4 linked regions of the Rhinolophus ferrumequinum genome follow. The protein of the gene in region 4 interacts with the protein of the main gene of each other region in a pairwise test. Links are inferred from orthologs where the notes say so. Each region holds a gene or a part of one and is shown on either strand. Other genes may lie near its edges.

Region 1 (6,849 bases), on a different chromosome or scaffold from region 4:
TTGGCCACAGTAAGTCCGATTATCCTCAAACTCTTAATTGTCAATACCATTTATATTTCATTTTGACATCTTTTCTGTCTACAGTTAGGAATCATTCCTTCCTTCTTCTACTCTTAAAATAGTAGGTCCTTACTGTGAGCCAGATACCATGCCGGGTTCCGGGGATGTGAACATAAAGAACTCCTGGATTTGGGCCTCTAAGTCATCCTGTTTTCTCAACAGGATGATGACTCTTTGAAGGCAAACCCTTATTTCTTTACTTGGACTCTCAGAATCACAGGTTTAGAATCAAAAGGAGCCTTAGAAGAAATATCCATACCAACCCCCCATACTCCAAGCTCTCCCAATGTAAGCTTCCCCCACCTACCATTACTCAAGACGGTGAAATGACCACAATTATTTACCTCCTCCCTCCTAAGACTCCATTTAAACAACACCCAGGCACTACTGTACTACGTGCCAGGCACTACTGTACATATTTAACATATGTGACATAGAACATATGTGCCTCATTATAGCCCTAAAGAGTCAGGTGATATTATCCCCATCTTTCCAAAGAGGGAACAGAAAAGTTCTCCTGATTTATCAAACTTTAACCTGATAAATTAGGTCTTTCCCAAATTTTTCAAAAGTATGTGCCATATATTCTAGAAGTAATTTTGGAAGATCTCAGTATGTAATTCACAGTATCTTTGTTGGCAGAGAGTAGTTGTATTATAGTCACACTCGTATCAATGATGACAGTATGTAAACGTTGTGGGTCCTGTCGACCACATATGTGAACATTTCTGGGTGAAATATGGCTTCTTAGCTGACTCAGTAGGCTAGATGATAAATGCCACAAACAATACAGAGCTGTTGATTTTTACCCCAAATTAACAGAAATGGGAAGATAGCAGGCAGACACTATAGTCAAGCAGTAAAAACTCAACTACTGATAAATTAAGTACTTCAGGGTGAAACATCTAAAAAATTCACCTTGAATGGGCACGGGTGGAGAAGCGTCAGGTACCCTATCTTCCCTTTATCTTTGTACTGTTCAGTATTCAGATGCAATTTGCTTTAATGAAAGTTCACTGTGTCCTCTGTCCATCTTGGTTGGTTCCATTTAGGATCTGTTTTAAGTATTTGGGATCTGTTTCAAATATTTAAAATGTTTAGCAAGATAAAAATGTTTGAATTGCGTTTTATAAGGAATTAGTGAACCACAATCAAAGGTGACCGCCGTGTGCTGCTGAGACTGGGAGTTCTGGCTCCAGCATCATCTGGTTTGTTGTAGTAGGTGCTTTGTCTATTTTCATGTCTCCACACGAGCCAATAAAAATTCAGGAAGTCCGTGCCTCCCATCCAGACTGATTTTGTGCTTTTGCTCAGTGAAAAACCATAGGAGACAGAACTTCAGGAGAATTCCTTTTCATACCGTTTAATGTCACCCTGACTTGTAATTAGTGAAGATAAAGTTAAGAGGCCCCAATGTGTCCTTAGTCTCCTGAGACTTCTGAAGTTGTTCATTTCTCTAATATTCTCTTTAAAAAGGAAGGAAGGAAGGAAGGAAGGAAGGAAGGAAGGAAGGAAGGAAGGAAGGAAGGAAGGAAGGAAAGAAAGAAGGAAGGAAGGAAAAAAGGAAGAAAGTCACTGACATTGAGAAAAGTCCTGTGTCCTCAGTTGGCTTGATTTCATTTGCTTCCACTTCAAAGACAAGCCTTTGATGGCTGAGTGTCTTTTTCTGATCGTCTTCGTTACTGTTCTGTTGGAAAATATCTGTATTGGTAGAAACAGATAAACTATTGGAAATTATAATTATGCCTGGGATATTGACTTTTCTGATTATCATTAGTTGATATTTTGACTTCCTGGATAGAATAATAAGTGTAAAATTCCAGCCTATGAAAGGACATTCAGAAAGGAAATGTAAAGCTCTGTAAACTTTGGGGCAATACTTGTTTATTTGCAGTGTCTCAGAGGAATTATCTGTGAATCTTACACTATAAAATTTTAAGTCTGGAAATTTCTCTTTTCACATGCTATTTTGGGGGTTGTTTACCACCAGTGTTCAAATAACACAATGTCATTTCCCAAGAAATATATTTTTATGAGATTTCATTTACAATGTAATGATTTTATATATTACTTTTAAAAATATTTGAATATTAAAATTAGAACTCGCCTTGTTTCAAACTTGGAATTTGCTCTGTATAATATTCAGTTATGAAATAATAATAGCAAACCATGGGCTGGGAGTTGAATGGCTGACATCAAACCTTCACTCGGCCAATAATTGGCCAAATCACTTGTCCTCTTTGGGCTTCTGTTTCCTCTCCGGTAAAATGATGGTGCCATAATTCTCAGGGTATTCTTTAAGGTCTCAAAATTCTGTGACTCTGTGACACTCCGGGACTCTATGTGTCCTTTCAGGTCTGCTGGGAAATCGGCATTCTTTAAAAGGTAATTTTAGGAACAATGAAACCATCAGAGACATTTTTTAAAAAGCTTACTATACGTTTATTTGAGTTAGTTAATTGAATTTTAAACACCTCATCTTCTAAAAATTACAGTATGGGCACTTATTGCAAGTCACTGTCTGTCAGGTGGCACCTCACTCTGCCTGCCTCTTCGATGCATTTGCAGAACTGGGTAATACTTCCAGAGTAGTATTTCCATGTGCAGAAACTCGGCTCTTCTGTAATTTTCCTGAGTAAAATGACAGCTGTAGTAGTTGGTGGTCCAGTTCCTACAACAGTCCTGAAAAGCATTTGCTTTCATCTAGTAACTGGCTACCATGGTGGTAACAGATGACTTTTAAACAGCTGTCACAAGCGGAAAACAAAACAAAATTAAAAAGCCATCCTCCCACACTATATACAGAAATCTTGCCAATAGCTGAAGCAAATCCTTCTGGGAGCATTTTAACAAGCAAACTTTTTTTTTATTTTTATTTTTTTTATTGTTGCTACAATTCAATAGAAACTCATAAAACTCAGACAAGCTAGCTTCATGTTTCCCACAGACTTGAAGTGCCTAAATTTTCTAATGGGATCATAGCAATTAGTGGTTTCCAGATACATTTAAAATGTGTTAAGTTCCTGCAGGAATTGGCTTTTAAAACATATACAGGTCCTCAAATGCTTCAATCTACTATAAGCCCCATGAGGTACTATGATGTCTGTGTAATATCTGACCATAATTTGGTGCTTAAGTTGCAATTAATATTAAATAGAAAAAAATGGGAAATGAAAAAATTCTGTCCAACAGTTGTTTTTTTGTTTTTGTCTTTGTTTTAAATGGTCACATTACATTCACTTGTTATCTTGGGAATCATGGAAATAATCACTAACTCCTATTGGACACAAAGTAGGAATGAAAGCTCCAGGTGTCCTGGAGAACTCATTCCTGGACTCGGCTAATTGAATTGCAAACATGTCAGTCTGACAGCATTAACAGTTTATGACTTGTATGTTGGAATGTCCCCCTTTCTTTCCCTCACTCCTGGACAATTTCTCCCTGTCACGAGATGCTTCCTAAATTGAAAGACTGAGTCTCTATGTTTACACCTAGGGTTTTACTTTTGATTGAAACTAGGCAGAAGGCAAGTTTATGGTCTATCTTTTCATAACCGGCAAGTGCTGAAAACAAGACATGAGAATAAAAACATGGCTTTTGACGAAAATGCGTTAAACAGGTGGTTTTCTCTTCCAGTGACTGACATAGTTATCTTCCCTGGAGACACATCCAAGCCTCATGTCCTTTATATTTTTTTCTTTTAGATTCCACGTGAATGACTCATAAACAAACACGAAAACACGAAAAGGAACTGGTAATGTTCACCAACCAGCCTGAAGACTCTGAAAGGTAATAACGATGTTTTATTTAGAGGACGTAGGCCTCTAATAGTAATTCGAGTGCTTCTGCTTTCAGACAAAGATGATGAGTCTATTGAGAGTAGACAAGAATGTGTCTGATAGAACCATACAGAAAGATAAGAAAAAGACACTGGCTAACAGTGTGATTGTTGGAACACATTTTCTTTCATTACTTTCATTGCTATTGCTAGTTGAACAGGTTTTCACTGCCATCCAAGGGGCAAGGATTATGGTGGGTTATGAAGGTTTTCGATTTTTAAAGTATTTAGTAAGTTTCCCTTGACAAATTTGGCCCTTAAGGTAATTTATCTTGAATAGCACAAATTTTCTCCTAGGAAATAACTCGATTTCATTAATAAGGTGAAGAGGTAGCTATATCTTCTCTCCTGACTTACTTACTCCTTAGCTCAGGTATAGGGTGAGAAATTCACTAAGTCCCTTATCAAAAAATCCCTTCCTTGGCCTTTTATGGCTTTTTCTCAAGCCTCGCTCTATTCATTGACCCATATAGTTATTTCTTTAACTTCTTATTTGTCACCTGTTATGCGTAAGCTGCTTACAGAACATGAATCCAGTATGTCCTAGCTGCTTGCAGTTGAGACGTGACACACACGCACACACCTAAGTATAATATATGTTGAATGATTTGCCTCATCAAAGAGCTACTGAGGAAGGTGAAACTCTGAGCTATGAGCATAAAGACATGCATGAAGAAGGAGTCATTGATTTAATTTCTGGCAATAAAGCGGGGAGGAGAGGACATGAAAAAAACAGAAGGAAAGAGTATTGTAGGCTGAAGGCAGAGGGTGTACAAAAATGTCACGCCAGGAAAGGCGAGGACTTGTGCTGGGGCCAGTGAGCGGTCCAGTGTGGCCTCCACATCTGGCACGTAATACCAACACATCTAAAGTGAGAGACGAAGTAGCTGAGAACTTATTCGATAGGCCAATGTTCTCTGTCTAAGACAAAACTTCTTTTAGGCAAATGATAATTAAAAGAAAATAAGACTCAGGTTCTTACGTCAGTGTTTCTCAAACTAGGGTTCTCTTAACCTGTGGGTCTGGAAACATGTTCTCAGGGTTCTTGGTCTGTCAAAATCTTCATTAAAAGGGGCCTATGTGTACTTCCAAACACGAGAATCATGACTGGGCACAAGGGCAGCCACTGAGACCTGTGAACAAGGGACTGACAATAGGCTCAACAGGAAACAGGGTTTCCCTGAGAAGGAGGAAGACTAGAAGCTTGAATAAACATAGAGACGCTGCTTTCTGCCATGCCTCCCAACCAGTGACAGTCAGTATGTGTAACATGCATTTTAGTCTTTAGTTATATAAATTTAGCATTTTATTGTGCATTTATTTTTTATGATTCTATAATTGTGCTGTGTGTGTAAGTCGTGTCTCTCTGATAAGATTTTATCTACGTCAAGGGAAAGAACTCAGCACACAACATATAACCCACTTTAACAGTAGGTTTACAATAAGAATTGGTGTATTCCATATACATTTTTATAAAATGTAAGTAATATATAGATTGACATCACAGGAGTAGTCTGAAGATTAGCTGACTCTATTGACAACCTCTAAGATACTATGGATGTGACAATAGAAGCATAGAAGACAACATATGATGTTGAATAATTTCTAGGAAAGATGGTATCTCATTCTCAGAGGTCCATATTGGGCACATATATGCAGTTTAAAAAAGAAACAATGAAAGAGGAGAAAGGAAGGAAAGAGGAGGAGGGAAGAAGGAAGGCAAACCCTCTGTTTCTGTGTTTTGAAGATACATATATCCTTAGCTTTTCCTTAGGTATAGTCATTCTGCAAAGAGGTAGGAGTTCCCCTCACTCCCACCCCTTCCACACACACCATTTTTGTTCCATGTGGAGAACTGTAAGGACTGTGAGCTCCCAAGTCCTCCGTTCTCTGGCCTTCCCTCCTCAGCAAAGCATGTTCATGTTTAGATTCTCTCCTTCTACCAATGATGACAATTACACAGAATTTAGTGGTTATTTTTCCCAGAGTACTAAAATTTTTGTATTTCTGAGAGAAAGAAAGAAAGAAAGGTAGGTCCTTTGACAGTAATTTAAAATGCTCAGGAGATGGTTTTCAGGATAAACTTTAAGGTGTATGTAACGTGGGGTCCAGAAAGATAGTGGATAGAGAGATACTGCAGTTCATGTCTTTGTCCCAAAGGAGGTGAGAAAGAAAGAAGAAGGAAGTGAGAGGCAGCCAGTCAGGAACAAGAGAGTGAGTGTGGTCACCCCTCTTTCTCTCTTGACCACGATCCCTTTTCATTTAGGTTCTGAGGGATAAAAACCGATCGCCATCACTAGTATACTGATTTATATATTGTATGATGGTTGTCATCCCAAGCTTCTTTTCAAAGTAAAAGAGTAAAGCAAACAACATTGATTCCAGTGGGGCCTTATCAAAGTAAACACGGTATTTTTGTGGCTTTCATATTCTCCTTTAACAGGATCACACAGCACATTGTTTTAAAAGCAGCCCCACTCCACATAGTCTGATCTGGGGTCGTCCTTCTCTACAAGTCCTCTTCTACTGCCAGCTCTCATTTTAATTTTTTTAAAGCACGTCTCCCTGCCCTAACATTACATTTTAAGAGACCTAAGTATTTTTCAGAAATGAATTATGTGTTCAGAAAGTTACAATGATAACCTAGCAAGGAAAGCGATTATGATTTATTATAGCCTCAAGTAGAGGGAATCTCAGAAACATCAAATGAATGTTAAGTTCTCATGCCGGGCCCCTTTAACCTGGCGTCGACGTCATGCACGTTAGCATTCATTCAACCTGTGTACTGAACACGGTCGCTACAATCTTCATTATTCATTATTCATTGTCTTCTGGGAACAGTGTACTGGTTGCTACGCACGTAAGGAGCTCCCGTGTCTTTCCCCGTATTCAAAGCATTCAAATGTCTTTATACACAACATTGGTGTACTTTAAGAAAATTAAACAATAGT
Region 2 (7,326 bases), on a different chromosome or scaffold from region 4:
AGAGATCTCTTTAACTCGGGTTACTGGAACATTTCCCAAATTTTTGACTAAAGAACTCCCCTCCTGGTTCCCTTTAAAACATCACATCCATTCACTGTCCACAGACCACTGTGAGGAAGGAGAAACCTAGGGAGTCATCTTTGATTCTTCACACCTGAATCCTACCTGGCAGTAAGGCTTGCCACTTGTCCTCATCAATACGTCTCCCGCTGTCACCTGCCTTAGATCGGACTCACACACCCCACCGCTGCCATCCCTTTCCTTGGGCTCTCTCCTGCCAGCCTCCCTAGTCCCATCCACCCTGCACACCTCTACCACACGCCTGTAGCTCTAGTTTCACAATACGGCCCACCGCCTTGAGGGACAACAGGGTAGATGGTTTAGAGTCAGGTTCTTAGACTTAGGAGTATGACAGATGTGACTTCTGGGGTCTAGTCTGCCACTTACTAGCTGCATGATCTTGAGCAAGCCACCTAACCCGAGTCTCAGTTCCTCATCTAAAGAATGGTGATTTTAGTTGTAATGCACTCATTGGTGGTTGGGAAGAACAAATGAAATAATGCACCGTGAAGTGTAAACACGGTGCCTGGCCTTTGGTAAGCACTGAGAAAGGCCACGCGTTCCTCAATGCCCAAGACCTGCCTCCTTCACAGAGGCTTCCTGAGCCTCTCTGCTCTCCCCTGCAGTGACCCTCTGCAGCTGCAATCCTGCCAGTTTACCACTTGACTGCTCCATAAATGCTTCCTCTGAGGATGTTGGTTTTATAAGCTCCCAAAGCCCAAAGGCCAAGTCTGTTAATCACCCCTTTCTTATGCGGCCTCCACGCATGCATGCACCTCTCTGTTGTGTTCACCTGCTCTTCTTTCTACTCACTAGACCCCACACTCAAGTGCAGAAGCCTCACTTGCACACCTATCATCTGAATCTTATCTGGCACCCAATAGGCACTCAGCCAGTGCTTGATGGATAACAGACTCAGACCCCCAACCAGGGGGAGCAGGCACCATGCTGTTGAACCTTGCCAAGAGAACGTGTTATGGAAACAGCAAGGGTCAAACTGATCCAAAAACCTTTCTGATGGTAGAGTTCTTCATCAAATTCCACACCAACAGGCCCTTGGCTAGAAACTGGCTGTTGTCCTCCATCTCTCTCTCTCTTTCAACAACATGGCAGAATGTATTAGGTTGGTGCAAAAGTAACTGCGGTTTTCGCAATTATTTTTAACCTTTTAAACCGCAATTACTTTTGCACCAACCTAATAACTAGTCCTTTATGGAAGCTCTCTTGTCCCCTCCTGCTGCAGAGTATGGGGCATGCACCAAGTTCTAGGTCAAATACCCCAGGGCTTGAGCCCCACCTCTGCCCCTCACTCCTCTTGGGTTAAACTGAAGTGGCTTAATAATTACTAACTCACAGGATTCACTGAAGTGATTATATAACCTACATTCAATGGCTGGCACATAGTAGGCACTCAGTGAATGTTAGTCCTGCCAAGTTCCCTCCTGCACTATCCTTAAGTTAAAATAGGAGGTAGGGCCAGAGAAGAGTTGCTCTGATATGCTGAATAACAGTGAAATATTGACATCGTGTGTTACAGGACAGTAGTTCTCAATCAGAGACAATTCTGTGTCCCTCAGGGTCATTTGGCAATTTCTGGAGACATTTTTTGATTGTCATGACATAGGGAGGAGGGAGGTGTTACTGGCATCTAGTGGATAGAGACCAGGGAGGCTGCCAAACATCCTACAGTGCACAGGACACCCTGATCGCCACCAAATAATTATGTATCCCAAAGTGTTAGGAGTGTGAGGTCGAGAAACCCCGTTTAAGGTAAGAGAAGTCAGAAGTCTTGACCATTGGTCCAAACGGGCCTCACCACTGCCTGAGAAACCCTGCTCTCTAGACTCAAGCATCAAAACCCAAGCAGGAGGCAGCCATGTCCTCCTGCCTCTGACCTTCTTCCCCAAGTACACATACAAACCTTCCAATGCCGGTAGACAGGATGGCAGTGGAGGTCTTCAGTTCCTCGTAGAGATCAGCGCCATTGAAGGGAAAAGCTGAGAATTGGGCGAGCAGTACCCGCCTCAGCGCAACCAGGGCCTGCCGGAGGGGCGGGGACAACTCAGGACGAGCCCAGGGGCACTTCAACCCAAAGCGGACCAAGAGTACTCAGCAACCAAGAGTACTCAGCCACGAGCAATGACCAGCCAAGGGAGGGGGCATCCCAGGGTCTCCTACGCCCCACCCCACCCCCCCCATCAATCTCTCGGAACCCTTCACTCCCTGGGCTCAGGGATGAACATGTAGAAACACCCCGGTTTGGAAAGTGTAGTTCGTCAGCTCACCTTATAAGACAAGCCACATTTCTGGGCTACCTCCTCCAGGTCTGCGGAAACCAGGTCCACCACTGAAAACAAAACAAGTGTGGATGATTGGCAGGAAGGGCGGGGCTTCCCGCACTTGGCTTTTCCTCATCTGTGAAATGGGGTGACAGTGTTACCTTAGGGCAGACCATCATCTCAGGAGGCCTACGGGAACTACCAGAGCCACAGGACCTGACGCGGTGCCCAGCACACAGTAGGAGCCTGCCTGGGGTTTGGGGTGCCCACTCCCTCCCTCCGAGCCTCTCCAGAAGGGTGGGGGGCACAGGAAGGCGGAGCTATCCCCCTCCCGGGTATGTCAGGGCGGTGGGGGTGGCATCCGCGGTGTGCCCAGCTGTGTGGGGCGCACACGCGGTCACCTGTCTTGATCCCGCGGCTCCTCAGAAGCTGGATCATGTCCTGGGTAAGGCCTGGGCACAGTCCGGCCCTGAGCATGCCCATGTTCCCTGGGGACCCCGGGCCGCTATTCCCGTGGACATCAGCGGGGCCCTTTCTAGACGCCTCCCGGCGCCTCTTTCTGGAGGGGCCCCGGGCCCGCGGGGACGAAAGGAAGCGGCGGCGCGGAGAGTGCGGACCCTGCCGGGTCTCCCTTGCCCAGGGCCCGCCCTCCCGGGCCGCAGGGCCGCTTCCGGCTTCCAGGCTCCAGGGCCGGACCGATAGCGCCATCTGCTGGCTGCGAGGGACGGACGAGCGGCTTCCTGCGAGCCTCGGTTCTAAACGCTGGGCCAGGAAGCTCGACAAGGCTAGCCATCCCTATGCACAGGGGACCTGCTTGTTAGTGAGGGCAAGACAGTGAAGAGAAATCAAATCAATTAAATAGTATGGGGGCAGCCGGTTTGCTCAGTGGTTAGAGCGCAGTGCTCATAACACCAAGGTCGCCAGTTGCATTCCCACATGGGCCAGTGAGCTGCGCCCTCCACAACTAGATTGAAAAAACGACGATTTGACTTGGAGCTCATGGGTCCTGGAAAAACACACTGTTCCCCAATATTCCCTAATAAAAATTTTTTTAAAAAGTTAAATATTACAGATTATATCATTGGTGCTAAGAGGCAACGGAACACACAGAAAACACCTGCTTCTCTGTACTTTCCATTTTTTAATGAATAACAGCAAAAACCCTGAGTATATAGAACACAAAAAATAGGATTTGTTATTTTTAAATGTCCTTTGCTTTGTCTCATCCTGGAAGAAACAAAACAACCTTACAGGGTTATCTTCTCATAATCCAATGAGGCAGGTGCTATGTTTATCCCTATTTCGCAGATGAGGAAACTGAGGCTCAGGGAGGTAAAGTCATATCTCAAAGACTACAGAGCTTGTAAGGGCAGAGCTGGATTTAGCACAGACAAATCCACATCTAAGTGCAAAGCCAATGCTCTTCTCTTCTTATCCCCGAAGTTGTATGTTTTCCTACTGTACAGTGGTGTCCTTGAGAACAGAAATAATGTCTGGCCCATCTTTGTTTCCCTCTGCAGCACTCCCAACTGTCGCTCAACATACGAAGCACTTGGGGTGAGGGTGTGGCATGTTTAGAAGTCTAGCCATGAAACCTGGGTATATGTGAGCTATGAACTCCATGAACTTATGGGCTTTCCCTTTGCCTATATGACTGAACATAGTGAGGCTGTGCTGCCTAGAATTTTGGATAGAGAGCCTCAGTGTTCTACAAAGTCTCGTACTCCCAGAGACCCATTCCAGCGCTGCCTCCCTCCGTGCCCAGGTGTCTTTCTCCCACCATCCTTCTCCTCCTTCCCAGGGCAGCACCAAAAGGTACAGGTGGTAAACATTTTGAGATCTTCAGAGGACAGAGTTGCTGTAACCACAGAGCATTTGCGCTGGAAGGGTGATGGAGTCTGTTCCTTAGCTCTACCCCACTCTAGATCCTGGCCCTGGGCAGCAGCAGCCTCAGATCAAGGGAGAGGCTTGCCCCTAATTGTTATGCTCTGTGATGTTTATGAAGTCAGCTCATTGCACCCCCATCCCACCCAAATTAGGGTGGGTCCGCTGCCCCCAGTTTCTCTCTGCCTCCTGTCAGCTTGGTTGTCCTGTACGGTGACAGCTGTGGTCCCAAACAAACTAGATGGCATCAGAGGTGCTCTGTAAAGTGGGAGATGGGGAGGAGACCATGCTGAAAAAGGAAACCCTCAATGTTTCGAGTGTGCTTGATCAAAAGTCGAAGCCCTTTCCAAACCCCAAGTCTATGAACAGGACGGTTGCTACCAAAGGACTCCCACTTTCCTCAAGAGGCAGTTTGGTTAACTTCTTGGAGGAAGATACCATCAATCTACCGTAAGACAAAAGTCTGGTCCTTTTCTCCTTTCTTAGGCCAGGGCTGAGGGGTGGGGAAGGGCTTGAAGAAGCGGTACTTTCTGGACCTGTCACAACCCAGGTCCTGAGCTCCCAGGGAAGAGCATGTGTGCAGGATGCACCATGGATTCCGGACCCCAAATCACTTCTTGGAGGCATGTGGGCCTGCAGTTCCAGGAGGCCTTTCGGGATTAGTTAGAGATTTGTTAACAGTGCTTCTCGTCTACTTTGTCTAGTTAAGGTCTTTTTCCCACACCCCCAGCCACCCACAGACACCCCTGCTCCATTCTACTCCCCTAAGACTCCTCTTCTCAATCCTCCCTTCTGGTGCCTTCTGCTGCCTGATTATATCCCCCCAATAGTCTGCCTGCTTTTGGACTGAGGTTTATGTTCCTCCTCAGTAATTCTGGGTTCCATTTACTTCATTCCAAAAAACTCTTTGAGCTCCTGCAAGGTGTCTAGCCCAGGGTTAAGTTCTGGGAAGGCAGAGCTGAAAAGAACAGTCCCTGCCTTTAAAGAGCTCCCAGCCTGGGGTATGTGTGTTGGGAAGGTGCCAGGAAAGAATTGCGAATAAAGCAACTAGGAAAGGACACTGAGGCACCAGAGGGGGGTTAGTATAGCTTGGAGGGGGGTTCAGTTAGGGAAGGCTTCCTGGAAGAGGTGACATGTGAGCTGAATCTCCTAGGAAGGGAAGCAGTGAGCCAGTGAAGGGGTGGTGGTGCAGGTTGATGGAGGCTGAGGGAGTTATCTGCAGGGCATTTTCATGGGCGTGTGACCTGTGTAGTCATACACAACCCCACACTTAGAAGGGCCCAGTGCTTAACTTCAATGCTCCGCTGTCACTGTCTTGAAATTCTTAATAATTTTTGAAGAAGGGGACCCACAAACTATGTAGCTCGTCTTGATTATAGAAAAGGGATGTAGTGTCCCTTCCCCCTAATGGACCTGTAAGTAAGCGGGTATGGCTAAAGTCATGGATGTTTATAGGAAACTTCATGGTATAGTAGGAAAGTCTAGGGCTATGAGGCCACGTTCAAATCCACGTTCTACCATTTAGATCTATGGCTGTAGACTGAAGGTCATTAATTTGCAAAATGGGGCTACCACCCATCTAGTAGGGCTGCTGTAAAGATCAGAATAGAATATGTCCAGCATGTAGCCTACTTCTTCCCTGCCTTCCATGCCCACTTCTGCACTGGTGTTTTGAATAAGGAAATCTAAAATAGAGGTTCATTAGGACAATCTGAAGTATAAATGGCATTAATACTCAGACTCTTCGGCGTATAAGAGACCTTAGTGAGGGAATCATCTGTTCCAAATGTCCACCAAAGGCTAGCATAGGAGCTTTGAGTTGATCAGGATATTTTTAGGAGGAGGCCGACGGGGCTGGAGCTCAGGGAGGAAAAATTTGGCCCATCAACCAACCATGAAGCCTGTGGCTGGTCTGGAGTAAGGGATCCAGGGGTGTGTGGTGGTTGCTGGACTTGGCCAGAGCAGCTGGGGGAGATGGGGTAGGAAGCAGAGGAGAAGAGCCAGGGACAGATGGGAGCTACATAGCAATGGGACAGGCCTGGGACCCCGGAGACCTGGGTTTTAGTTCAAACTCTGTCATCAATTCACTGTGTGACCTTGACTGCCCTCTCTAGACAAGTGCTCTTCAAACTGTGGGTTGTGACCCATTAGTGAGTCAGGAACTCATTCTAGTTGGTAGAGACCAATATTTTAAAAATGAAATAAAACAGATCAAAAATTCCAGGGCCTATCACGCATAAAGTACTGGTTTGTGCAGTTGTGTTTTAGTTGTATGTATATGTATGAGTATACTACATTGCCATGTAATGTGTATTTCTTTGAGTCAAGATAAAAAAAAGATTTGAAAGCCAATTTTTGGGGGATTTTGCACTTCATCAGTAATAAAAAAAAAAATTAAGTAGTGGGCAAACATGTGGAAGGTTTGTCTTTGTAACAGTAAAGAATTGGTAACAATACAAATATCCCTGTAATGGAAAACCACACAAAAATCAAAATGACTGAGTCAGAGCTACATGTATAATACAGATAGATCTAAAAAGCACAATGTTGAGTGAAAAAGCAAGCTACCATCGATATGTACACAATGTGATCATTTATTTGTGTAAAGTTTAAAAATATGCAAAATAGGCCTTGCTTAGGGATAACATACATATGTAACAAACCCATAAAGACATATGGGGAATAATAAACACAAAATTTTAAATTTACTGGTTAGCTCTTAGAGGGAGTATGAGGACGGAGGTGGGGAGAGACACGTCCGGGGCCTTAACTATCTTGATGAGGCTTTAGTTCTGAAGCTGGATGATGGCTAAATAAAAGCTTAATAATATTAGGTTGATGCAAAAGTAATTGCGGTTTTTGCAATTATGTTTAACCTTTTAAACCGCTATTACTTTTGTACCAACCTAATATATTATTCTTGATATCTTTGGATATGTCTAAAATAGTTCATAATTTTAAGAAATTAGAAGAAAAGTTTGAGAATTCACCCCAGTATATGTATATTTATAATAATTTTACGGCTATATATTTTACATGTTAAATGCTAAGTAAATGAATTAGTAATTGCATTACATATTAAACAATAATAATAAATAAATGT
Region 3 (7,543 bases), on a different chromosome or scaffold from region 4:
ATGACACCCTGCAGGGGGAGCTGCAGGAGCGGATCCAGAGGCTGGAGGAGGACCGCCAGAGCCTGGACATTAGCTCAGGTGAGGCAAGACGCCAGCCCCGGCACCCCTGCCCCAGGCCTGGCCCCGTTAGTGCCCAGCCGCGGCCTGGACCTTCGCGTCTCTGCCTGGACAAGGGGATAGCAAGAGGGGTGGCTATAGAGACTGAATGAAACCAGGCAAAGAAAGGGCCGAGCCAGTGCCTGGCACACAGTAGGGGCTCAGGGAGAGGGCCCCCTTGCCCTCCTTTGCCCCTGCTCTCTTTTTAGAACAGGAGATGTGTCATTCTGACACTCCCACACATACCACAGCCACAGTCCCCTCCATGTCCATAGTGTCTGCCATTCTTTGGGGGCCCTGGGGAGGCAGGAATTATCATCCCCCTGTCCACTAAACAAATGAAGAGATCGAGGTTTACAAAAGTACAGTGACTTCTTTCCCAGGTTGCACAGTGGTGCAGTTGAGACCTGAACTCAGCTTTCAGCACCCAAGCCCAGGGTTCTCTCCGCTGTCCTGGGAGGTGGTTGATGAGGAAAGACTGGCCTGGCTTATGTGAGGAACACAGGCTCCAAGGGTGGGGGTGTTTTGGGAGGACCAGCACCCCAATCCTGACTCTGGGTCTGGGGTCACAGAGTGGTGGGATGACAAACTGCACGCCAGAGGCAGCTCAAAGACCTGGGACACCCTGCCACCCAGCAAGAGGAAGAAGGCACCCCTCGTTTCTGGTATCCTTCCACCCCACGGGGCCTAAGCTGGGCAGGATGGCAAGGTCAGCGCCAGACCGGGGAGTGGCGCGGTGGAGGGGACACAGAAGACAGAATCAGACTAGACACATTTATGGTCACTTGGCCTCACGTGGCCATGCCTGGGCAAACCCAGACCCCTCTCTCATCCCTGCCTTGCCCGTGCCCCGGCCCCCATTTCTGGGCACTGGGGTCCCTGGCCAAGCTGGGCCTCCCATCCCCCTCAGGAATTTTTTGTGAGGTCCTGGATCTGTCCTGGGTTGTGTGGGTCATGGAAAAATAGGAACATCCATTTAGTGACTCCCCATAACTTCCTGAGAGAAATCCCTGAGGCCCTCTGGCTTTCCCACAGTGTCACAGGCCTGTCCCGGGCCTCCCCACCCCCATGCCTTTCCACCCTCTTGGAGTGCCTTCTGCCTGTCTGTGCCTGTTGGACGCCACCTCCTCCATGAAGCCTCTCCTGATCTTCCCCCAATGGCTATGGCTTCTCTCTCCTCTGCACGCCTGTGACTTAAACTGGGGCACCCACATCTGTGGGGAGCAGTGGCCTCTGCCCCACCTTAGGCGTGAGCCCCTTCAGTCCAGGGCCTGCTGTGCCTTCATTCCTCGGGCACAGCCGAACACAAAGCTGAGGTGAATCCCCCCGCCTGGCGACGGGGCTCAGATTCAAGGAGGGCGGAATCGTGCTGCATGGACTTGAGGGGTGAATGGGGGATGAGGGTGTAGAGACACCAGGCACAGAGCACAGGAGAGCAGAGCGGATGGTCCCCAGAGGGGAGTGTGAGACCAAAGGAGGGTTTTCAGGATGGAAGAGACTGGAACGTGTGTGTCGATACGGGGAAAGGGGCCAGATAAGGGGACAGTTCAGGGGACAGACACTAGAAGGAGCAAGGTCCCTGAGCGGGTGGAATGGGCCTTGGCCTACTGACCTTGAGACTGGAGAGAGGTGGTGAGGGGGAATCAAGGTGGGAGAGGCAGGGGTGAGGCTCAGTGCCCTCCCCGCCCCCGCACCCCTGCTGGACTTGGTGACACAGGCCATAGCCACACCGACCTCTCAGAGGATCTGGGGGCCGAGAGGTAGGAGGTGGACCTTGAGCTCCAACCTGTGACCTCAGCTCCGCTCCAGGGTCCATGGCACCACCTATCGTGAGTATTGGAGCTCCCGGGGCAGAGGCCGTCTCCCGCCCCCTCCACTGGGCTTCCTGCTTCCTTAACCCCTATTGCAGGCCCTTACATCGTGTACATGCTACAGGAAATCGATATCCTAGAGGACTGGACGGCTATCAAAAAGGTGGGTCCGCTGCTGCACGCTTCCCCCACCCTGTCTCAGGGAAGGGCCTGGCAGTGCAGCTCCCACCGTGACAGCAGCTTTGGTCTCTGCAGGCTCTCCACGTGGGCTTTTGAGGGCCTGGGGAGCTCTTTGCTCAGCCCATGGTGCCCGCTGCCTTCAGCCCAGCTTTTCTGGCATTGCTGTCAGCTCACAAATCTCCTTTTACCCAAGGCTGCCCTGGAGGAGAGAACTTCTAGTCTGTGTCAGCCCCTTTCCTGTTCTAGGGCAGGTGTTGATGAGGTGGGAGTAGGGAAGAAGGGAAGGTGGGAAAGCAGCTGGGCTGGCTGGGCCTCTGGCAGGAGGCCACGTCAGAGCTTTGGAAAGTGTTTTATGCTCCCCGCCCCTGTTGGTGCCGCACTAGCCCCGCAGCTCCTACCCCAGAGACGCTGACGAGGACCGGGACCTGCCAAGTGGGAGGTAGGCTCTCAGAGGGCCTTTTCTTCTCTCCCATCCAGGCTAGGGCAGCTGCGTCCCCTCAGAAGAGAAAATCAGATGGTAAGAACCACAGGGGTTGTTCTACCCTCACTACCCCCTCCCCCAGCCCAGCCTCCAAGAAAGGAGCCCAGGTAGAGACGGTGGCCATGTCAGATCGGTGGCCTGCGAGTTCAGATGGTCTGGGTTTGAGGGCACTGTGTGAGTTTGGGGAGCAAGAACCAGGGTGGGTGGGGAGTTCTAAGCTGAAGGGTCTAGGGAATGAAGCCTCCTGCCAGGATTGGTCAGGGAGGGCTGGAATACTAAGCCCCTGCGGGGGGGGGGGAGGGGGCTAGTGGGCCCAGAGTGGTGATGGGCTCACAGCTGAGGGCTGCGGAGCTTCCCTGGGTCACACCAACGCCACTCTTCAGTCTCCCTTATGAAGGAGCTGCCTCCCTCTTGTTTCAGCCGCTTCTCACCTGCAATGGTTTTCCCTTCCCACATCCCCCAGGACCGTGACCCTGCTGTTCACAGCCAAGGGGCCCCTCGGAGCAACTGGCACCAAACCCAGGATTTGCATTTTCCTGCTGCAGAAAGGCAGACTGACAAGCCCCTCGGGGTCTGCCCAGTCGGCCCTCCAGTCCGCTGCTGCGCCCTCCCCTCCAGCCGGCACGGACCTAGCCTCCTCGGCCCCTCCTCGGGGCCTGTCCAGCTATAGGCGGCCCTAGCCAGGCTGGGCTGTCTCCTCCCTCCCAGACCAGCCCCCTGCCTCCCCCCTGAACGTCAGCCTCCTTGGTCCCCTCCCTGACAAAGAAGATATGCCTTGTCTTCAGCCAAAGCACATCCTTCCTGCTGACCTTGGACCGGCTCCCCAGTCACCGAGCCAGTGAGTTGGGCCTGCTTCACGGGAACTCTGAGCCAGAAATTACATTCTGGAGGCCTGTCTGTCCTGGCTGTTGCCAGTGGTGAGAAGGCAGTCTCCCCAGGTCTTCTCAAGGCGGTCCTTGGTACCTGCCTCCCAGATTGTGGGGACTGGAATTAAAACCTTTCTTGGGACTCTCGCGTGACCCACATGTGTCTGATTTACCTTGCAAGGGAATCAGGGCTCCCATGGAGGGTGCCTGAGACAGGCAGTCTCTTCTGGAATCTGTGGTACCTCCTCTTACTCCCTAGCAGGAGCCTACCCACTCTGACTTGGGATATAGGCCGGGGGCTGGGGGAGGCTCTCCTATCACTCGCCCAGCGGTGGGGGCTCGGCCCTGGACTACCTAGTGCTGGTGAACAAAGTCTGAAGCAACGTGGCACAGGCAAAACACATGGCCTCAAATGGGGAAGGGAGCTGGTGCTCAGTGCTTAGAGACTGGGTCATGTCTGCACCTGCCCCAGTCGCTCGGCAGATTGGCAAGGCAGGCTGGCAGGGCCTATGTGCGTGGGAGGCAGCCGGCAGCAGTGCCATGTGCTGACACCTCGCAGCCAGACTCCCTCCCATTTAGTGCTGAGTGTTAGAACCACCCCCAGAACCTCAGTTAAGCAAAGAGGTTAGTTTCCATGGAGACACAGCATCTTTTCTCCATGGCAACCTGAAATCCCAAAATCTAAGTTAGGTTTAGGAATGAGTCATCTGTGACCAGTAGGGGGCATGCTCTCACAAGGGTGACCCCCAAGGCCTGGGCAGTTGAGCAATTGACCGCAGGCTTAAAGGTGCCCCAGAGGAGAGGCTTGGGCCTGTGGGGAGGAGCCGGCCCTATGTAACCCCTTCCTTCCCTCCCACCTGTGTTGTGAGGTGACTGGCAAGGCTGTGGGAAGACCTGTGGAGGCAGCAGCCCCACCGCTTGGGCTTCTCAGAGTGGTACTTGCATGGGGAGATCCCTGCCCCCTAAGGCTGGGCCCAGGACAGGAAGCAGGCACTGCCCAGGCCGAGTGGACACAGAAGAGTTAACTGGCGGGGTGTGACAGGGTGTGCCGCCCTCAGGAAGTGTTACTCACCACCGGGAATGTGAGATGTGAGCGCTCTTGCCTTGGGGGCTGGCTTGTCTTTCTGAGTCCCAGGAGAAACCGAAGGAGCTCCCCGCCATGGAAACCCCTGGGGAGCCAGGAGCAGGCCCTCTTGGAGCCCCCAGCCCATCCAACTTCGCACCTGGGCACCTGGAGAGAGAAAAGTTAGTGAAGTTCGAAAGGCAGCCTGCTGGGGAAGGGAGGGACTGCCGCGCAGGGTGTATCCTGGAGCAGAGGAAGGGGAAAGGTTGGGCAAGGGTCCCAGCTCCTGGCCCCCGACTCAGGCCGGTGCCTGCCCCCAGGCCAGCACAGGACCCGCTGTACGATGTGCCCGATGCCAGCGGGGGGCAGACAGGTGGGCCCCAGCGGCCAGCGCGCACGGTGAGCCTGCGGGAGCGCTTGCTGCTCACACGGCCCGTGTGGCTGCAGCTGCGGGCCAACGCGGCCGCCGCACTGCATGTGCTGAGGACGGAACCCCCAGGGGTGAGTCTTGCCCCTACCCCCTGGACGTTGGCCTTCAGAGGGTGGGAGGGAGAGGGGCTGGACCTGAGCCTCCGACCCTGTCCATTCGCAGACATTCCTGGTGCGGAGGTCTAACACGCGCCAGTGCCAAGCTCTGTGCGTGCGGCTGCCCGAGGCCAGCGGCCCCTCCTTCGTCTCCAGCCACTATATCCAGGAAAGCCCTGGGGGTGAGAGGGACTGGCCTGGAGGGAAGGGGCTGGAAGCAGTCATGGCAGGGCACGCGGATTCCCCAGACAACGACTTCACTTTCCATCTCGCAGGAATCTCCTTGGAGGGATCTGAGCTCGTCTTCCCGGACCTGGTCCAGCTCATATGCTCCTACTGCCACACCCGGTGAGCCTGCCCACAGGCGCCTGGTGTCCACTCCCTGTCCTTCCTGCCCCTGCAGCCCATCTCAGCCCCCGGAGCCCCAAGCATCCCTCACGCCTGACTTTCTGTCCCCTCTCTGGCCTCAGGGACATCCTTCTCCTCCAGCTGCAGCTCCCCAGAGCTATCCGCCAGGCAGCCACCCAGAAGGAGCTGGAAGCCATCTCCCATCTGGGCATTGGTAAGGGCTCCCCTGCTCTCCAGGGCATAAACGGGCACTCTGATGCCCAGGGGGAAAGGGACGGTACTTGGGCATAGTCTGCCCCTGTGCCTCGCGCTCAGTTGGGCAACCCCCAATCTCCCTGAGGCCCTATTTGGTTTCTCTTCTCTAGAGTTCTGGAGCTCCTCCCTCAACACCAAGGCTCTGCCGGGCCCGTCCGAAGGCCCACTGCTGCCCCGGCTGAAGCCCCGGTCCCCACAAGAGCTGGACCAGGGCACTGGAGCCGCCCTGTGCTTCTTCAATCCCCTGTTCCCGGGGGACCTGGGCCCCACCAAGCGGGAGAAATTCAAGAGGAGTTTAAAAGTGCGCGTGTCCACAGAGACCTCCAGTCCCCTGTCTCCACCTGCTGTGCCTCCTCCCCCTGTCCCAGTGCTGCCAGGAGCAGCCCCCAACCAGACAGAAACGTTGCCCCCTCGCCAGCTGCTGCAGAGGGAGAGCTCAGTGGGGTACCGTGTGCCAGGGGGTGCCAGCCCCAGCCTCCCGCCCCTGCCCTCCCTCCAGGAGGTGGACTGTGGCTCCCCTAGCAGCTCAGAGGAGGAGGGGCTGCAGAGGCCCCAGGGGAGTACAGCGACCTCACCCCGCCAGGGCCGCCGCCGGCGGCCTTTGCTCCGGTCTGTGAGCACTGCCTTCTGCTCTCTGCTGGCGCCTGAGCGGCTGGTGGGCCGGGCAGCCAGTGCACTCATGCAGGACCGCCACACGGCCGTGGGCCAGCTAGTGCAGGACCTACTGACCCAGGTGAGGGCCGGCCCCGAGCCCCAGGAGCTGCAGGGTGTCCGTGAGGCCCTGAGCCTGGCCCGAGCCATGCTGAGCGCGGAGCTGGGCCCTGAGAAGCTGCTGCCACCCAATAGGCTGGGTGAGACTCCAGCCCGGCCTCCAATGCTTCAGCCCTGTCTCCATAATCCCAGCTCTTCTCACCCACTTCACTCTCTCCTCCTCTCCACAGTGCCAGCCTGTCTCCTGTCTCACCAGGATTCCAACCCCCTTTCATCCCTCTCTCCCCGACTATGCCCCTTCTCCCTGGGACTCTGCCAGGCCCCACTCCCTTCCTCTGACCTCTGCCTGCCTCTGCTCCACAGAACACGTCCTGGAGAAGTCACTGCATCGCTCGGTACTCAAGCCTCTCCGGCCCATCCTGGTGGCCCGTCTGAGGTGCCGGCTTTCTGCCGACGGCTCTCTGGGCCGTCTGGCTGAAGGCCTCCGCCTGGCCCGGGCCCAAGGTCCCGGAGCCTTCGGGTCCCACTGGAACCTGCCCTCCCCGGTAGAGGTGGAGCCGGTACGCCAGAAGCTGCTCCAGCTGCTCCACGCCTACTCACCCAGTGCCCAGGTCAAGTGGCTGCTGCAGGCCTGCAAGCTGCTCTACACAGCCCTGAGGACCCACTGGGGTATGCCCCCACCCACTGCTCCCTGCCCTCGGAGGCAGGCCCCCCAGGCAGAGAGTTCAGGAAAGGCCCAGCAGGGGAAAAAGATGGGTCCCACCCTCCCATCCTACAGATGGTGACACTGAGGCCCAGACTGGAGAGCATCTTCCCCTCAGCCCCTGCTCGTGGTTGCCATAGAGACCATATTGCCCAAGGCTTGGCAGGTGGAGGGGAGGGTCACTGTCTAAGACAAGGAGTGGACTCTGACCCTGGAGCCCCCAGGAGTCTGAAGCTTCCTTGTCTATTACACCACCCCACAGGAGAGGGTGCGGGGGCCGACGAGTTTCTCCCACTGCTGAGCCTGGTCCTGGCCCAGTGTGACCTTCCCGAGCTGCTGTTGGAGGCCGAGTACATGTCAGAGCTGCTGGAGCCCACCCTGCTCACCGGAGAGGGTGAGGGACCCACACACACAGGCCACCTCCCTGTCTGGGTGGGGCTGGGCGCCTTAGCACCTGCATGGCCCCAAGTAAACAGGGAAGGGGAGAGGGAACAGGTCACCCAC
Region 4 (7,313 bases):
CTGATAATAGCTGGTCCTTTGCCCTCCTCACCCTCCAGGAGCTCACATCCTCTGGTGGGGAGACAGTGGGAGAGTGATTACAACTCAGTGTGATAAAAGTTATGATAGGCAGCACAGGTATTTGGGGAGCAAAGAGAAAAGACATCTGAGTCAGCCTGGGACATCTGGGGAGGCTTCCTAGAGGAGGTGTCAGCAAAGGTTGGGTTTAGTCTTGGCTGACAGTAGGTGTGAAATAATCAAATAAATGGGATGCCTTCTGAGCAGCAGGACCAGCCCGATCCTAGAGCTCCCCATGGTACACTGAATGCCTATTACATGCCAGGCCTGGGCTGGGCACAGGGAATACAGGGCGAGGAGCACAAACTATGTGCCACAATGGAACAAACATGGAGCTGGGGAAGAGAATAACACAGAAGTGGAAAGATGGTGGTACCTTCTTTATTTATGGGGATCAAGAATGGTCTCTCTAGTGAAGTATGACATTTAAACCAAGACCTCAATGATAAGACGCTGGCGTTGAGTAGGGTGGTGAGTTGTGGAGAAGTGTTACAAGCAGAGGGAACAGCAGATACAAAATCTGGGACAGCAGCAAGGTCGTTATGGAACTGAAAAACTCACGTGGCCTCAAGCATCGTGGTCAGTAGTTCAAAGAGCTTTGATGAAGGGGGGGAAGTACTTTCCTCATTCTTGCCACTTCTCCCTGCACCCTCAACCTTTCTTTCTGCTTCTCTCATATGTCTTCTCACTGCTCCTTTGTCCTCTGCCCCCATCCCTCAGGCAAGCCAGGAAGCAGACAATGTTCTGATCCTGCAGGACAGGAAGCTGGTAACTGGACCAGGCAAACGGTATCTACAGGTGGCCAAGAACCGCTTTGATGGAGACGTAGGTGTCTTCCCGCTTGAGTTCAACAAGAGCTCTCTAACCTTCTCCATACCACCAAAGAGCAAGGCCCGGCTCAAGAAGATCAAGGATGACAATGGGCTAGTGGTTAAAAAGCCCTCTTCTAGCAAAAAGGGTGCTGTGTCCCAGAACTCTGAGACTTACTCGAGCAAGGCCCCCAACCCCTACCAGCCAGACCCCTCTAAGCCTTCAAGGTGAAGGCAGTACAGAGCTGGACACTGAAATAAGCCTGACAGGACAGGCTGGGGCATAGACTCTTTATTGGCCCTCTGCTAGGGCTGCCTCTGTCCTGTGGTCCTGAGCTACGGGCTCTTCTCAGTCTGAGGGACCTAGCCTAGGGCAGGGTCCCATAGTGAGAGAATTCAATTTAGCAAATATTTGAGAACCTACTGTGTGCCAGGTTTTGTTCTAGGTCCTAGGAATATAGCACTGACAAGACAGATGAGGTCCCTGCTTCCATGGAACTTAAAATTTGGTGTGGGGACAAGTAAGCTAATGAACAAATAAATACAAAACACACTTTTAGATAATGAAAAATGCTATTCAAAAAATAAAATAGTCATGGGATAGTACTTACAGGCTAGTTTAGATTAAGGTCTGAAAAGTTGTCTCTGAGCAGAGGACATTTGAGCCCGGGCCTAAAGAACTAGTATTGAGCCACGTGAACATCTGGAGAAAGAGGGATCTAGGCGGAAGGAAAGGTAAATACAGAGGCCCTGAGGTGGGAATGAGCAAGTTGAGTTCAGAGTAGTGGGGTCAGGCCCCCTGAACCTGGAGGAGAATAGGGGACTTCTGGCCAAAATTCCAGCATAGGCTTTCCGAGCCGAAGGGCGACATGGTAGGTACCAAACTCCTCCGCTCCAGTCGAGCCTGCTGTGTGGTGGCACTCACTACCATTGGATCCTAGGTGCTTAGCCCTGTAATATTAGGGCCCCAAAGGTGGAAGCTTGGCCAGAGAGCCATGGAAAGAAGCTGTGAACCTAGCGTGCCTGCCACCTGGACACATTGTATGGTATGCTGCCTCAGACCGCTGCAGTGGATGCAGTCATAATTTTTTGTAGAGCCTTTTGAAGTTTTACTAAAATAAATTTTCCATTGCTTTTGTTTCTGTGCTGTTTCTTATTTGTCCACCAGGTGTCTCCCCAGTCTATAACGATTTTCCTCTGAATTGGGATAGGTCCCCTCCCCCACCCCAGTCTTTGAGCTCCGCTCCCAAGGAAGCAAGAGCATTAAAGGGCCTTTACATGCACACACCCTTGACACCTCTTCTTGGCCAGGGGAAGACATGATGGTGTCTCTTTATCCCTGTTTTCCTTGAGGATCTCCATGTGATCTCTGGCAGAGATGTGAGTCACCTGGCCACTTACCTAAGCTCAGCCTGACAAGCTGTCCCTCTGTGATAATAAGCCACGAACTGACCTCTTGCAATGTGGACTCAGGCTTAGCATATTCTTACCTGGCCCCCGTCCACTTCCCTCCTCCTGTACCCTCAGTGTTTCTCTTATGTTAGTGTGTGTCAGAACTCCTAGGACTCTTGTTTTAAAAAGAAGAACATAGGCCCAATTTGCCCCAATCCTCACAGATTTCGAATTCTGGAGGTTCAAGGAGAGACATAGGATTCCTCGTTTTCAACAAGTCCTGAGGGAGATGAGAAAATAAGTTACACAGAGACCCTGTCGGAAATATTCCTAGATGATGAGACTTTCATCTCACTTCCTCTAATATCCTAAAATCCCAGTTTCCCTTTAGATTTGCCTGCAAGAGTGGTAAGAATGCAAGAGGGGCCTAGGGAGAAGCCTTTTGTAAGGGTGGCGGTTGGTTCCCTGCTCCTTGGAAGCAAGGCTGCCTTATCAAGATCTCCCCGTCAACCCAAGAGGGGTTTCTAGGACCCTGCAGAAGGGTCTGGGGTCGCTGTCTTTTATGTGTGAGAACCTTGACTACAATTGGCTCCTGAAACAGACCTGGAGCTAAGCTGTTTGGGGGGAGAACCTGGGGGAAGGGAGGGGAAAGCTCCTGGAGGGCCTCCCTTCTTGGGGGTCTCTCCCAGACTGGCTGGAGCCAGGCCTCCTAATCCCCGCAATAATCATTCCCAGCCGCTGGCTGGTCTAAGCCTCATCCAGGGTCTGTAACATTGAACGTCAGCCATGCCTTCCAGATGCACACCACTAGGTCAGTCCTAACCTATAAAGACGTGGGTTCCACATTCTCGTCTTCCTAGAATGTTTTGTGTGTTCTCAGGAAATCCTTTAGGGGTTTCCATTAAGGGAACTTTGTGAGGTGTCTGTGAATTGGGGATAGAGGGATAGATACACACTTGCCTGTTTGTCTTGCCCCATCCTCCTAGCAGACACCCCACACAATATAAACCAGAATGATGGGGGGAGGGGAAGTTAATGCTCCCCCTGCCCTACGCCCTATACAAATACATTCCACTCCACACCTGTCTTTATTCACATCAAGATGAGCCCAAAATGTGTTCAGGAGTACCTGGAACCTAGAAAGCAATGAGGGATCCCTGAGTCCTGTGTAAGGGCCCTGGGAGCCACTGACCCTGGACATTGCCAAAGTGGATTGAGGCAAAGTACTCTGCTTACGTCCAACTGCATGTTAAGAATCTCCCTGAGAGCTCAGGAAGGGCCTGGCCAAGCAGGGGCCAGCTGGATCTCAGATTCAGCTGTGAGGGCTGCTTTGGTCCTCCAGTAGCTTCTTTACTGCGGTTGGGTTTGAGAAGGAACTAAATTCACTGGACTTATGCTGCCCAAGTACTCCGGCTGTAAATACGGCCCAGATACCTGTAGACATCATATGCTGCCTTGCGTTTCTTGGAGGGAGGGAGCTCTAGGTGCCTCCCTGCAATGCAGGCCTACTTCCTGTTTGTGCCTGTGGGTGGAACTTTATGAGTCTAAGGGAAGCCAGGCCATGCTCTGTGGGGGGCCAGAACTGGTAGGTCTGCTCACCTGGCAGACACTACTTCAGGGGAGAGTGAGGTGTGGGGGCACGCGGAGCCGGGGTGGGAGGGAGGAGGGGACAGAGGGGCGGGTCTGTTTTGGTGAAACCCGAGCCTTCTTTGTCTGCTTCCCAGGGGTTTTCCCGGCGTCTGGGGAGTGGGCTGAGAGTGGACCAGGTTTGGCTCCCTCCAGAGCAGGGGAGGTGGCAGAAAAAGTCTTATAGCCAGCTTGGTTAGGGCAGCCAGGTGGGTAGCTTAGCTGTCGGTCACGTGCCGCTCGCCCCTTCCCCAGGTCGAAAGCCAGATCCTGTAAGCTGTGAAGTCAGAGACCAGAGGGCAGCCTCGGGTCACCGTGGAGCTACTGCGGGGTTTGGTACCGGCTTGGCCGTTGAGTGGGTGCTGAGCAGACCACTCCTTTCCCTCGGTTGGGGGCGCGGCCTCAGCGGCCCCGCCCCTCTCCACCAGGCCGGGCCTGGCGGGCGCTGCGAGTCCGGAGCCCGAAGCGGGCTTGGGAGCCGGCGGATCTGCATCGAGGAGGTGCCCGCACTGGAGCAGGAGGAGCCAGGCAGGAGCTGAAGCAGCGGCGCAGGTGGTGCTGGGTGAGTAGTGGGGGCGCAAAGGTGTAGGAACTCCCGCCTCCCGCACAACTCCGCTCCGGATTAAACTTTGCGGTCTGGCGAAACTGGGGGTTAGGATGGGAGTGGGGGGGGGTCCCTGAACAGGGGACCGACGCGGAAATTCACACCGACGGGCCCACACACGCGTGCACACACACCCACTCACGCACTTGGGACACACAAACACACGTGCACCCAGGAAAGGACGCGCCCAGTGAGTTACTCTTGTAGCCCGTGGAGCAGCGCCACTGGCTGGCGCAGACCCCCAGCGGGCACGGCGCTTGACAGGGGCGGGAGAAAAGTGCAGACAGGGGCGAGGCGGGCGAGACACCGCGGGCTGTTCCTGCTTCCCCGCCGCCGGCAGGTGAGGACTAATATGCAAACAGGCGCCGAGCCCCGGATCGCTTCGCAGACGGGTGGGTTGTGCTTCCCCCACCCCGGCCTCAGGGCGAAGACCTCCCTTGCTAGTCCAGGGCGAGTTTGCGAGGTCCCACAGGGGGCTGTATTCCATTCTCCGCTTCGAGAGGTGATAAGCCCTCCCCCAGAAATGGGAGCACAACGCCCCCTGGAATGGGGTAGCACCGGCGTACCGGAGACTGTTGGACTGGGGTGGGGTTACCTGGTGTCCTCGCCCTTCTCCTGAACACATTCGTGGTTCCCCATCCCTGAAGGTATCAGAGGGGGGCGCTATTCTTGATAGCAGTGGACGGCAGCTCCTACCCCATTCCTCCGGCCTGGGGAGCAGCAACCGTAGCTACATGAGCGCCTGTCGTTCTCCTTGCTAATACCACCCCTCCTTGCAGAACTAGGAGCTCCTCCCCCCCCAAGGTAGGAGCAGAAAACGCACTCATGCAAGAGTGGGAGTCCTCCACCCCAAGAGAATTCAGGACCTCCTTTTCAGTACCAGACTGGGCCTATGCCCCTCCGGTAGAAAGGAGGACGAACCCCATCCCCTCATCCCACCTCACTAGTAAGGGAGTGGGCAGCGGCCCTCGGCCTCCCTCCCCTCCCCACCCCCCACTTCTGCGCGCGCGCGCGCGCGCGCACACGCGCGCGCACACACACACACACACACACACACACACACACACACACACACGTTGAGCCCAGCTGCTGCCCGAGCTTCTGGGCAGTTTGCCAGAAAGGGGAGGAGGCTCCTAGTGCCCCAGGAGGCTGGGATCAGGGCAAGGCCAGAAGAGGGGTCTCTCTCTACCGGAGAGAGGGGCTCCGTCTGTTGTTGTGAGGCTGAGGGTTTGAAACGGGGTGAGCCTGAGGGTGGCTGGGCTATGTTTCCCTTTCCAGGGAGAAAGAAAGAAAAACAACCCTTTCCATAGAGCTAAAAATAGAGCTGAGAGCCGGCCAGGGCTGTGGCCTGGAAGGGGGGGATGCTCCTTCCCTGGGCAGAGGAGCTCTGGCAGGCCTGGGCGGGGGTTAGGGGGCGGGTGGCTGTCCTTGCCCAGGGGTGCTCCATCAGCCGACCTGACCAGTTCACATAAACCCCCACGGAAAGTCTGTATGGTAGAATGTTTGAGCAATATGTGTATGTGTAAAAAGTTGTGTGTGAATAAGACTGTCAATGTGTGAAACATGCTTAGACTAAGTGTGTTTATTAATATTGTGACTGCGTGTGAAGGACTGTGAGTTGTGAAAGTATGCACAACTAGGCGTGTGACACCGAGTGTGTTGTGTCTCTCTCTGTAAGTTGTTGGCTTGAAAGATGGAAAGAAGGAACATGGAACCACGTGATGGATGAGACTGATTGTGGCTGTGTGAAACTGAATGTGGGAAAGGTCGTGTGGGTGTTAAGGTTGTGTTTGCCAGAGGGTGAGAATATTCGTGTCCCTGAGAAGACAGTGGAATGTTGTCTGCTGTGAGGCTGCAGTAGGTTTGGATTGTAGATTTGGACAGGCTCACCCCAGTGATTGTTGAGGGGCCAGGGCCTTCATCTCTGAGCAATATCCTCTTTTATCAAATGACACTGAGGGAAGGTCGGGGAGCACAGGGCCGCGCCTGCTGCAGCCCTGGGCTCCAGGAGGAGGGGGATACAGCGCTGGGGAGTCAGGTAGGACTCCCCGCTCGAGGTCGGGATTTGGGGGGTAACTGGGCGTGTTCTCCGAATCCGCCGCCAGGTGGCGCCGCCTCCGCAAATCCAAGTGTGCGGCCTCCAAGACGCTGGGGGTGGGGCAAGCACGGACCGAGCCTTGGCCCCTGACGTGTGCTGGGGGGGAGCGGGCTCTGGGCCCGGGCCGCGGGCTAGAGTGAATGGCAGCTGGCCTTCGGCCTCCCACTCTGGACTCCGAAGCCGGAGAGTGTCTGTGAGGGAGGCTTCAACTAGAAGAACGGAGGGGGTAGGGCGGCCGCCACGGCGCCAGGCCCTTTGTGCTCCAACAATGACCAGCCGCCACTGGCCCCGGGGCCCCGGTTGGAGTAGAGGGTGACCTGCTGCCGCCACCGAGTCCTGAGCCGACCGAACTCCGCAGACACACAGCCACCGGCCTGGGAGGGAGGGATCCTGAGTCCGGCTGTGCAGCGCCAGCGTGCGCCCCGCGGGACACGCGTGACGCGGGGTGCTTGCGCGTGCCCGCGCCCCGGGGGCGGGGACGCCCCTGGGACCCCTCCCCCGCGCTGCACCGCCCACTTGGGCCGGGCGGGGTCTGCCCCGCGAGGGGCGCCGCGGAGGCGGGGCCGGGTCCGGCCGGGCCGCTCCGAGTGGCCGCGCGGGCTGGAGCCGGGCGGCTCGCCGGTGGAGCGCGGGGGGCGGCCCGGGGCTGAGCATGGAGCAGCGCGGTGGAGGTGAGGGGGGCCGGGGCGGGGAGGCGACCTGGGGGTGTCCCCAGCTTCTGCGCGGC

The links.
Region 1: the proteins of LZTS2 (region 4) and TNIP3 interact in binary tests that used the Homo sapiens proteins (3 or more experiments, as listed by UniProt). The two-hybrid records come from large-scale screens. The link is inferred for Rhinolophus ferrumequinum from reciprocal best matches to the Homo sapiens genes LZTS2 and TNIP3.
Region 2: the proteins of LZTS2 (region 4) and RAD51D interact in binary tests that used the Homo sapiens proteins (3 or more experiments, as listed by UniProt). The two-hybrid records come from large-scale screens. The link is inferred for Rhinolophus ferrumequinum from reciprocal best matches to the Homo sapiens genes LZTS2 and RAD51D.
Region 3: the proteins of LZTS2 (region 4) and RIN1 interact in binary tests that used the Homo sapiens proteins (3 or more experiments, as listed by UniProt). The two-hybrid records come from large-scale screens. The link is inferred for Rhinolophus ferrumequinum from reciprocal best matches to the Homo sapiens genes LZTS2 and RIN1.

The regions. Positions count from the first base shown.
Region 1 is NC_046301.1:4,321,773-4,328,621, reverse strand, and holds the start of TNIP3 (TNFAIP3-interacting protein 3), read left to right. Parts: upstream 1-3,830; 5' UTR 3,831-3,849; intron 3,850-6,849. UniProt on the Homo sapiens protein: Binds to zinc finger protein TNFAIP3 and inhibits NF-kappa-B activation induced by tumor necrosis factor, Toll-like receptor 4 (TLR4), interleukin-1 and 12-O-tetradecanoylphorbol-13-acetate.
Region 2 is NC_046304.1:23,035,422-23,042,747, forward strand, and holds the start of RAD51D (DNA repair protein RAD51 homolog 4), read right to left. Parts: upstream 3,002-7,326; 5' UTR 2,823-3,001; coding exon 2,741-2,822; intron 2,408-2,740; coding exon 2,346-2,407; intron 2,101-2,345; coding exon 1,982-2,100; intron 1-1,981. Other genes in the region: FNDC8 (fibronectin type III domain-containing protein 8), read left to right, coding at 4,465-4,673. UniProt on the Homo sapiens protein: Involved in the homologous recombination repair (HRR) pathway of double-stranded DNA breaks arising during DNA replication or induced by DNA-damaging agents. Bind to single-stranded DNA (ssDNA) and has DNA-dependent ATPase activity.
Region 3 is NC_046294.1:5,594,258-5,601,800, forward strand, and holds the start of RIN1 (ras and Rab interactor 1), read left to right. Parts: upstream 1-4,543; 5' UTR 4,544-4,593; coding exon 4,594-4,679; intron 4,680-4,817; coding exon 4,818-4,998; intron 4,999-5,089; coding exon 5,090-5,204; intron 5,205-5,297; coding exon 5,298-5,370; intron 5,371-5,492; coding exon 5,493-5,584; intron 5,585-5,735; coding exon 5,736-6,476; intron 6,477-6,699; coding exon 6,700-7,005; intron 7,006-7,301; coding exon 7,302-7,433; intron 7,434-7,543. Other genes in the region: BRMS1 (breast cancer metastasis-suppressor 1), read left to right, coding at 1-78, 669-761, 2,006-2,070, 2,565-2,604, 3,032-3,039. UniProt on the Homo sapiens protein: Ras effector protein, which may serve as an inhibitory modulator of neuronal plasticity in aversive memory formation. Can affect Ras signaling at different levels. First, by competing with RAF1 protein for binding to activated Ras.
Region 4 is NC_046299.1:23,693,830-23,701,142, reverse strand, and holds the start of LZTS2 (leucine zipper putative tumor suppressor 2), read left to right. Parts: upstream 1-4,293; 5' UTR 4,294-4,446; intron 4,447-7,136; exon of another isoform or gene 7,137-7,257; intron 7,258-7,313. Other genes in the region: TWNK (twinkle mtDNA helicase), read left to right, coding at 778-1,098. UniProt on the Homo sapiens protein: Negative regulator of katanin-mediated microtubule severing and release from the centrosome. Required for central spindle formation and the completion of cytokinesis.